Sus scrofa: one gene and its partner. The protein of the gene in region 2 interacts with the protein of the main gene of each other region in a pairwise test. Links are inferred from orthologs where the notes say so. Each region holds a gene or a part of one and is shown on either strand. Other genes may lie near its edges.

Region 1 (5,215 bases), on a different chromosome or scaffold from region 2:
AGAAACAGGAGTTTTTCTAAATGGTTCACCAGTGGCCAACCTGTTAGTCCCCGATTCCAGTGACCTATTCTCAGAGCACTGGCTTCTCCTTGGGGATTTTCGATACTTCACTCACTGTTGCCATGACGACAGCTTCATCGCTATGTACCACTCCACATCACCCAGGCTTTGGTAAATGTAGCTGGTCGCTGTATAGTCGGTTGCAAGGGAAAAAAGAGTTGAAGTTAATAACATATACAAGCTACCTGTCTGAGTAAACTTGTAATATGCATAGAAACACTTTTACATCCTGCTTTAAAAAAGGCTTCCATGCAAATAACTCCTTTTAAATGTCATGCTATAACCTGATTGCTAAGACTGAGACAAAAAACAATTTGTCTGTATTACTGACCCCCCAAAAGCAAAAAAAACCCATACTGTTACATCAGACACACAACAGTCAAATCAGGTGAGATGTTTTAAATTCCAAAGATTTTATAGTTAAGAAGACCTACTCTGACCTCAAGGATGAATACTCAAAAGAAAAATTTCAAAGTAGATAATCATAAATGATACTAGTTAGCTGAATGGTTCAAAGAACACTAACAGAAAACTATTTCCTGTAAATGAACACGGAATCCTTTGACTAAGATAAAGAACCTTTTTATTAGTGTCTTTTTGTTTTTAACACCCTGAAGAATTAGCTAGATCAAAATATAAATCTTAGCTCAGACCATACTAGACACCAATTTGAAAACCTTGCAGTTTTCAGGGACTGATTCCTCACCAAGAAGCTAAAAGGTATTTTTAAGTGAAATAAAATACTAGTCTACCCCGGATATGGTTACCACGAATGAGAAAAGATGGTGAAACAAAGAATGTAAGACAAACGAAAAATGCTGTGAAGATTATTAGGGCAGCAATGTTTCAGACTCTAAATAGGCTAATCATTTTAAGGTTACTACTTGTTTGTCTCTGAATAGTTCCATGCTGCAAACCTACACTCAGCAAATAAGGACCAATGACACAGGATATTAATTTGGTACTAACCAACACGAAACCCAAAACAACTTAAAATCCTTTTACAACTAACTTCCTTTCAAGCTCAAAACAAGTTTACCCAGTAACACAATTCCTTAAGAAGTGAGCATAATAACTAATCTATATAATCAAGTATACCCTTCCACAACATGTTCTATATAAGTCATCTATAAGTGCAGAAAACACTACAACTTTTTCATACTGCCTCACAAGAATTCATAAGTCCACATAAAGTGTTAGCAGATACCCACAAAACCTAGACAACACTACTTTGGTCTCTAATTTCTTACAAGGTTAGACAAATGGGCTTTATCTAAATGCAACTCAACCAGTTATTTTTCTAAACAACTAAGACTGTATCTGACCAAAACAAAATACCTATTTAATCTCTGATTCCAAACTCCAAACTTTGTATTTATCATCATGCAGTCCTTTCAGATCTGGTATTACAGGATATATCATAGTTCAATATTGAGAGGTATTGCAACAAAAGCCAACCTCAACTGATAAAATTATCTGGGACTTCAAGTGGAAAAAGCAATCTACACAAACCTTTGCCACAACATTAACCTGAACTGCCATGTTCACAAACTCCCAGTCTTCAGTCTTCCACAGAGGATAGGGGAAAAATAACTTACAGAATACACTCACACTTGAGCCAAACGTACTCCCTTTCTTGTTTAATCTTAAACCACAGGACTGGCTTCACAGCACTGTTAGGATTGTCCATAAACGCAACTGCCTCTACAAACTTTAGATAACTGGTTAATTTTGGTGTTTCAAATAAATTTAAGTATCGAGGTCTTCCTACATGAATTTTAACGCCTAAATTAAAGTCAGGTTTCCTCTGCATCAATTTTAACTTGAGAAGAAAGAATGTTTTGATCTGATGATTGGAACAGTAGTATCATGAGATGCTGTGTTCAATAATGCCAATCTTACCTTTTTCCTCTTAACTGGCGTAGGTGGTGAAATACATTAATCACATCTCTTATTCTTCTAGGCGCTTCTTCGATTTTTGATGCAAGATTTATACAAGCCATAGCAACAATCTGAAAGAATCACCCAATAAAAAATTGTTAGATTACAGAACTATAAAGTTAGAAAAAAAGTGCCACTCTCAAAATCTAAGTAACTTATTCTGATGAAGAAACTTCTGGACAAAACTGGTACACCCTTTGATGAAGTAAAACCACAACTGACATTTCTAGGCCGTAGGCTTACCAACTATGTTAATATGATGGTTTCTTTTCACTGCTTAATGTCTCTTAATTCTGAATCCAGAACCAAAGTCAATCTCAAAGGAATATTGCATTTGGTTGAAAATTCTAATCCTTCATAGTGTAGGGCACCAGGGCTCAAGATCCATCTTTTACTTCTACAACACATTTCAAAAGTCCCCACTTCCCAGTGAGGGAAAGCTAGGTACAAAGGCCTAAACTAACCACTCCCTTTCTGGAAAAGCTGGCTGATGACCCTACCCCCTCCCTCCTTCCCATTTCCGGATGAAGAAATCCCCTTTCACCCGCCCCCGCTCCGCTTACCTCGAAACTGTGTTTGACGAAAGATTTGGAGTAGAAAAAACGATGAAACAACACCTGCCCCGTTGCCATCGCCACCTGCAGACAAGAAAGGAGAACGGAAGCGCAGGGGTCAGACGGGCCCGCACCAGCCGGCGCCGCCGCCATTTTGTGCCGCCACTCGCTCCCCCTCCCCCTCCCTGCCGCGAACAGTTCCGGGCCCGGTCCTTCCGTCGCCCAACGCCCTCCCGCCCGCTGTACTCCCGGGCTCGGACAGGAGCGTCCCAAGGGGACATCCCCACCCTGCCGGGGCCCGGTGGTGCCGGAACTCAGCGGCGGGAACGCCGCGGAGAAAAGGCGCGCCCGGTCGGCCCGGGGCCGCAGCACTGACCTGCGGCAGCCGGAGGAGAATGCCGGCGGCCTGGATGAGCTCGCAGCCCAGAATGCGTAAGTCCGTCTCGCTGGGCAGATCGAGCCCGTCCTGCATGGACGGGGTGGGAGAGAGCCGTTCCTCCGGAATCAGCGAGTGGTCGATAGTGAGCGAAACTTCCGAATAGAGGCGGTCGCCGATCAGGATTCCTCCCGTCGTGGTCGTCGTCGTAGTCGTCGTTCCGGAGCTGGAGCCGCCCGCGCTCGGGACGGCCGACGAAGCGGCGGCGGCAGCAGTCGCGGTCGGGTGAGGCCCGGACGCCATAGTCTCAGCGAGCTGCACGCACACCCAACGCAGCCGGAACCGGAGTGAGACTAACCAGCGTTCTCGGCGCGACGGATATTCCCGTGACCGCCGGGTTCTGAGACGCTTCACGCAGCGTGCGCCTCCGCCCTGACGTCACCACGCCCATCCAGTGCGCGCCAACTAGTCCCTTCAGGCCAGGTGTCCTCCCGCGGCTCCTCTGTCCGCCCAGAGTGGCCCCCACCGGGAGGGAGTCTAGGGTGACTTCTCCGCTGAGACCCCAGAGTGGTCGAGGGAACTGTCAATTTGGATAAACCAGGTCTAAACCGCCTGTTTGTAGTATTTTAACCACAAGAATAATAAGGGGGCTTTACGAGATAGCCAAGTTAGAGTTCTCAAGGTTTACTACTATAATAACCCTGGCGCTAATTTGATAATTTGTCTAGAACGTGGATCTCTTTGCTCCCGTCTCTACCTCATCTAACTTTTCGCGTTTGGATGACTCGGGTTCAGCGAGTAGAAAGGGAAGCATCAGGACGAACGACCTTCGCCGGCATTGGCTGGTGGAAATGGTTACTCTGATGTCCTGTATGGACGAACTTGTAATTTAAAGTGACCCACAAGGAATCTGGAAAGGGCTGCTTTACAGTATTTTTGGGAAACAGGCTTGTGAACTACATCGGTTCAAAAAAAAAAAAAAAAAAAAAGCTGTCAGATGAGCATGTGGTTCCCAGAGGTATCTAAGTATGGCGAGGGATTCGTATTGACTGGGAGAGAGACTGCTTTAGCAGCTTCGCTTGCGAAACTCGGGCCTGAGCTAGTGACAAGCCACAGCTTTCACTAATCTGGAAAATCCCTAATTTCCAAAAATAGTTTTAGGTCGAGACTTTACAGAGGTAATTTGATTATGCCCGGCAGTCTATGTATTCATGGAGGTTACTGCAATTAGGTAGTATGGGAGAAATCAATCTCTTTATATGTATTTTTCCCTCTCTGATATTAGCAATTCTCCAAATTTCCTCAAATTTGAAATAAAAACAATGATACTGATCCAAACTACCACAGGCTAGAGTGGGAGGAAAAAAGAGTAGATCTTGTTTAAAAAAAAAAAAAAGATTCTGTAAACTGAATCATTTTGCTGTACAGAAAAAATTAACACAAGGTAAATTCAGTTAAAAGAGAGTAGATCTTTGTTTACTCCTTCTGTGTCTAGACCTTGGAGACATTGTCCAGGAATGAGAAGCCCCATCATCTTTCTATCACATAGTTCAATTTTAAGGTTTAATTATGAGAAATGAATTAAAACTTGGATCCATAGAGCAAAAGGAATTTGAGTACACTGCAATATTTGTTAGTGATGTCTCTAAAGCAAAACATATTCAAAAACTCATTTTAAAAAAAGAATTCAATCCACCTTACTTTGTAAAGATTTACATCAGTATTTCTGAACCCTAGCTGCACATAAGTATCTTCAGAGGAGTTTAGGGCTGCACCCGAGGTATATGTAAGTTCCCAGGCTAGAGACGGAATTGGATCTACACCATAGCCACAGCAATGCCAGGTCTGAGCCGCATGTGCAGCCTATCCCACAGCTCACAGCAACACCAGATCCCTGACCCACTAATTGAAGCCAGGGATCAAACCCGCATCCTCATGGATACTAGTCGGATTCCCTTCTTTTGAGCCATGATGGGAACCCCCAGAGAAGTTTTTAAAACATACTGATTATGCTTGAGCCTGAATTGTAGGGGTTGATGTAATGGATCTGGGGTTGACCCAGCCAGTGGTTATTGGAATGTTCAGCCAGGATTGAGAAACAGAGCTCCAAGAGAGTGTAATTCTGGTGCTAGCTGAAATACTTGACCTCGTTGCACGTTACCTTCACCTGTCTGACTAAGCTGCTTCCAGGGAAGTTTCCCTCTCCAATATTCAGGAGGGATTATAACAGGAGTTCCCATAGTGGCATAGTGGAAACAAATCTGACTAGGAACCATGAGGTTGC
Region 2 (5,215 bases):
ATTTTATCTATACAAGAGAAATTTGGGTTGTAGGATGCAAATCCTTGTCCTTCAGGAATTCCTTAAGTGTACAGAGGAATCAGTGTATTACACACATCTTTAATCATTTGCAGATTAAAGTCTTTGAACTTGCATAGCCTACTTTAATTACACTTTTCACCGTCTTCCTTTAATGATGGTTGTCTTGAATTTTGCTTAAGTTTGCTAAGGTTTTACCCCAAGTGTTCACTGACTTTAAGATACTTTTTCTCTTTTTCATGACTACCCACTTAATGAAGACCCTTTCTTAAAATAGGTCTCCTGACCACAGACCAAGGTCTTCCACCTTTAAGAAAAAGAAAACAAAACGGGAAGGCCAAAAAATGCGGATGAGGACTCTGGATGGAAGTCGCTACAGCTTGGTGGCCTTTGATAGGGAGAAGGAGCTGAAGCCGAGAGCCACGTCCAACCTCAGCTTAAAAAACTATACAGTTTCTGGACTTCAGTACCTTTTACGATCAGGTAGGTGATGGCGAGGAGGAAGGCAAGGAGGATGGCGAACAGCAGCGAACAGAGAATTGAGAGGACCTGGACCGGCCAGCGCCGAGCTCGGGTTCGACCGCCCGCATCCGCCAAGATGCCATTCCGCTTATCCGCCAGGAGGGAAGACCCGTCCCCATCTGGCCGGAGGAGCGAGTCCTTTCTAGGTTCGGGCGACGCCCTGGCCGAGAATTCCGCTCGCAGGTCACGGGCTACTCGGTCGCATCCCTCCTCCTCATCGACTTCACCCTCACCCCAGCTGTCTCCCTGAGTGGAAGCGGAAAATGCCGGCCGAGCGAACGGGACAGGGGTACCCGGACGACGGCGCAGAGGGGCCGGGCGCCTCCCGCTCTCCACGAACGACATGGCGGGAAAGACAGTGAGGCCCAGAGAGCGAGCGTTGTTCACCAGCCCCTCCCCGCGGTCCCAGCAGCCAATCAACGGCCCCCCCCCGGCCTAAACCACCAGACAGAGGCGCGCAGGGGTGCGCAAGGGTGGGCGGCTGGGCGGGTAAGGTGCTGTGGAGTTGGAGAGGCTGGGCGTCCCAGGATCAGGGTACTACCCTCAAGCTGTAGGAGGGAAGGCGAGCAGAGAAGAGCGCAGAGGGGAGGAAAGAAGAGGCCGAAGGCAGTCAAGTCCCCTATCCCTGCACAGGTTCGTCTCGCCCTGAGACCTCGGCCATCGCAGCGTCGCCTCTAAGCAAGAGCGCGGCCCGGCAGCCCCAAAGTCGCACCTTCGTGGCACCCGGTCCTAGCGCCCGCCATGCGCCCTAATACACATTACCGACTCAATTTGTTTTCTCACTTTTACGCCTTACACTCGCTCCTACCTCCACCCCCGCTTCCCTCCACGGCAGTTCACCACCCCGCACCCTCACCTCCCTTAACAGCCCATTCCTCCTTCCCTTACGTTTTGTTCTCCCCGCCCCACTACAACTTCCCACCACGCAGCTTGGCACGCCTCCGGCTCCCCTCACTCCCCTATCCCGGCGCCCGCTCCCCAGTTGGATCTTACGGAGATCGAACCTTCTCAAGACCCCTCCTCTAGCCTTCTTCGCCCCCTCCCTCCAACTCGATCCGCCCCCCGCGCGCGCGCGCGCGCGCGTATCCGGCCACCGCTAACGCTAGAAGCTTTCCCCACCCCCACCCCCACCCTACCATCCCACCCCACCCTACCACCCCACCCCACCCCAGGCGGCCTCAGGTTTGTGGGGGCGTACGTAACTCGGGCGGGGGGTGAAGGTGGCAGAACCCCACTGCCCCACCCCCTTCGGGGTGAGGCGAACTAAGCTCGGGAGGCTGAGACACAGACGTCTTCCCTTCCCTGGGGTAAGTTACTGGAGTTTTTCCCCAAGAGGACTTGCAACAGAAACTTCCTCCGTCCCCCTCCCCCCTCCATGCAGGCGACGCCGAGTGAGGCTGAGGTTGGGAGCGAATCGCCGAAGAGCTGCGTGTCGGCAGCGCAGTCTGATTGGACAGCGGAGAAGCCTGTCAGCTTATTGGCCCCGCTGGTTCCGCCCCGTAGCGCAGGGCAGCCTTTAACCTTTGGCCCCAGTGGGCTCCAGCCACTCAGATCGCTTCTTGTTGGTATGTGTAGCGGCAGTGGCCGCCGGCGGAGCAGTCTGAGCCCGACGATGAGGCCGGGGACGGGAGCTGAGCGAGGAGGCCTCATGGTGAGTGAAATGGAGAGCCATCCTCCCTCGCGGGGTCCCGGGGACGGGGAGCGGAGATTGTCCGGCTCAAGCCTCTGCTCCAGCTCTTGGGTCTCTGCTGACGGCTTCCTGAGGAGACGGCCCTCGGTAAGGGATCGGTGGGGCAGGGGAAAGCGGCACAATGAAAACGGAGTCAGAGAGAGAGGAAGCTTTCTCCCAAAGGAGAAGAAGATGAGAGTGGACGAAGGAAGAGCTCGAGATGGTGGGATATGTTCCGGGGGAGAGAAATGGAGGGCGGGGGTGCACAAAGAAAAGGAAGTGGGACCCTGGAAGTTGCTGGTGGGTTTGGCCTAGGCAGTTGCGCGTTGGTTGTGCTGGTCGCGGGCGGGGTGAGCGTTTTGGAGAGGTAGGCCTGACTTAGCCGTGTTGGGGAGGCGGAGATTTGATTCTGTAGAGTCTAAAACAGGCTGCCAGAATTTCTTCACCTGTGTTAGTGGTGTCCGTAGCGGGAGGACAGCTGGGAGAATTGGCAGGAGATAGTTACCTGGTTTTAAGGCCTGGAACAATGAAGACACAGGTAAAGAAAGTAGTTGTCTTTTTATAGGAGCTCGTTAAGATGGATGAATTAGTTATTTACTTTAGTATCTATGAATGACAGACCTCGGTCTTTGGGATTTTTTTTTTTTTTTGGCATAAGTAATTTTTCTCAAAGATTCTGTTGTAAGTAGTATGTTTATGTATTAAGAGTGAAGTGTTCCTGAGGATCCATACTGTTGGTGTTTTATAAGGGTAGCCCTTATCTGAGTTAATTTGGTAACTTCGGCATTTTAAAGTTTAAAATCAATGTAGAAAGTAAGGATAAATGGCGCAATAAAATAAAAATAAGCTGTCTTATATCTGTGAAGTAGGACAAAGCTGTGGTTTTCACCATGATAGTTTTTAGGCTGGCGTTTAAACTGTATTCTCTCACTTTAGCAAGCCATTTAGTAATTGATTAAATCATCATGTTTTAAAAAATGAATTAGGTATCCAGTAATGATTTTAATTTTTTCCACTTTCTGAAATTTGCTAAGTTGCAGATTTAAGACCAGAAAGTAAATGTTGAATCAATAGTTTAGTCACATATTAGACAAATATAATGTTATGCGCATAACTGACTTGTTGAAGTCAGATTTTTGAGAAGCATTTATTAGTCTTCGTTAATTTTTGAGATGCATTTATCGGTCTTTGCTAATTTGTAAATTTTCCTTTTTTTTTTTTTTCTTTTTTTTTTTTTTTTTCAGATGGGGCACCCTAGCATGCATTATGCCCCAATGGGAATGCACCCTATGGGTCAGAGAGCGAATATGCCTCCTGTACCTCATGGAATGATGCCGCAAATGATGCCCCCTATGGGAGGGCCACCAATGGGACAAGTAAGAATGTTTTGTTTTACTATGTATTTATTTGTTTACTTTTTACCTCTGGTGTTCTTGTGTCAAAATTCAAAATCTGGGTCAATATTTGCAGCTGTTTTGAGTTTTAGTTTATGCCAAAATAATATTTTCAAATAAGTGAAATGTGGAATTGTGTCATTTACCAAATTTGTTTGTAATGGAAAGTCTTCTGTATGAGAGGTTAACTTTCTGAAGCAACAAAGCTGAGTTGTTTTTGTTTTGTTTAATTTGAAAGTAGCAATGTATACCTAGGCTTTTTAGTTTAATTACTTTTCCCCTCCAAGTATGTCAGTTGAAGTAAATATACTATGTCAATGTAATTTATATTGGTGGACCATGTCTATGCATAGAATCTGGAAATAGCAATTGTTTAAGCCTTTGGCTTAGAATGAATTTTATTCCTGAAATAGCTTCCTATTTGTGGTGTCTGTGTGGTGGGGGTGGGTGGAGGTGGGAAAGTTCTACTCTGATTTGGTTTTTCATAGGACGGTGCCATATAGTTCATTTTCCACTTACACTGTCTTGTGTCCTCGTTTTTTTTTAAATGCTTATTGCTTCCGCACTCCTGCTTTTGAGCTGTCCCTTCCATCTCCAACATAAATTGTAAACAGACATTTTGTGGGAGTGATTTGGACCAAAAGGTTTTAATGCTGATTCAGTGAATTCAACAGAACTGAATTCCTAGAAAAGCATCCTAGAAAGGTAACAGGTTCAATTACCATAACTAATTTTGTGCCCCCTCTGAGGTTCTATTATACCATATCTTTTGGTGGCTGAGTTCTTTCCATGTAGTATCACAATAAAGCATCAAATATTTAGGCTAACAAAAAATTTGGAAAGCCAATCAATTAGGTATGATCTTTTTGTTAATTAGTACTGTTTACTTTGATAATCATTTAAGCCTTGATGGTTTGAGTTACTGGTGAAATTATAGTGGAGAAAGGAGCTCTCTCTGTGTGCTTCTTTTTACATAAGAGTAGAAGAGCTTAATGTCAGGTGGTTTTCTTTTTTATTTGGAGTATAGCCCGTAATTTTGTATAAAAGTCTTTATTCAAAGACACTATGCCCAGAAGATTCTGCCTTTAGGAGTTCTTTAAATAAAAAACTATTTATTCTGTTACTCTGGAATAATACAAGTTTTAAACTCCCTAGTTGATGGAGAAACAATTCTGATTTCCTCTTCTGTTTCTTTCCATCTCTAAACAGCAAGGAGCTCTTATTTTCTTAGTAGAGCTACTCTAACTAGATAATGAGCTTTAAAAAATATTTATTCTTTAAATGCTCTGGTTCTTATTTAAAATTAGTTTCTTTCCACAGAAAGATAAAATAAAACAATTTGCTACTGCCAGATGCTTCTCTCTTTTCTGGGGCCTTCTGTTTCCATTGGGCCAATCAAGGTAAGTTTTGCAAGGGATTGACCTGCTTACCCTTGCTGTATTGGTGCTATTGCACTATCAAAACCAAGATACCAGCTAGTTTTTCTAGTTCTATGCAGATCTTATTTTATTTTTTAAGTACTGTCATGTTTCTCATTGACATAAGCTGGTCACAGTTTGCTTTACGGCCCCTTCTCTTTAGCTGTATGGTGCCCATCTTCCTAGTAAGGTTA

The links. The genes of interacting proteins can lie anywhere in the genome.
Region 1: the proteins of PRPF40A (region 2) and CCNL1 interact in binary tests that used the Homo sapiens proteins (3 or more experiments, as listed by UniProt). The link is inferred for Sus scrofa from reciprocal best matches to the Homo sapiens genes PRPF40A and CCNL1.

What each region holds. Positions count from the first base shown.
Region 1 is NC_010455.5:96,999,182-97,004,396, forward strand, and holds the start of CCNL1 (cyclin-L1), read right to left. Parts: upstream 3,239-5,215; 5' UTR 3,235-3,238; coding exon 2,932-3,234; intron 2,640-2,931; coding exon 2,565-2,639; intron 2,073-2,564; coding exon 1,963-2,072; intron 189-1,962; exon of another isoform or gene 41-188; intron 1-40. Other genes in the region: VEPH1 (ventricular zone-expressed PH domain-containing protein homolog 1), read right to left, coding at 3,239-3,511. UniProt on the Homo sapiens protein: Involved in pre-mRNA splicing. Functions in association with cyclin-dependent kinases (CDKs). Inhibited by the CDK-specific inhibitor CDKN1A/p21. May play a role in the regulation of RNA polymerase II (pol II).
Region 2 is NC_010457.5:60,436,309-60,441,523, reverse strand, and holds the start of PRPF40A (pre-mRNA-processing factor 40 homolog A), read left to right. Parts: upstream 1-2,152; coding exon 2,153-2,317; intron 2,318-3,453; coding exon 3,454-3,585; intron 3,586-4,077; exon of another isoform or gene 4,078-4,308; intron 4,309-4,923; exon of another isoform or gene 4,924-4,955; coding exon of another isoform or gene 4,956-5,003; intron 5,004-5,215. Other genes in the region: ARL6IP6 (ADP-ribosylation factor-like protein 6-interacting protein 6), read right to left, coding at 489-885.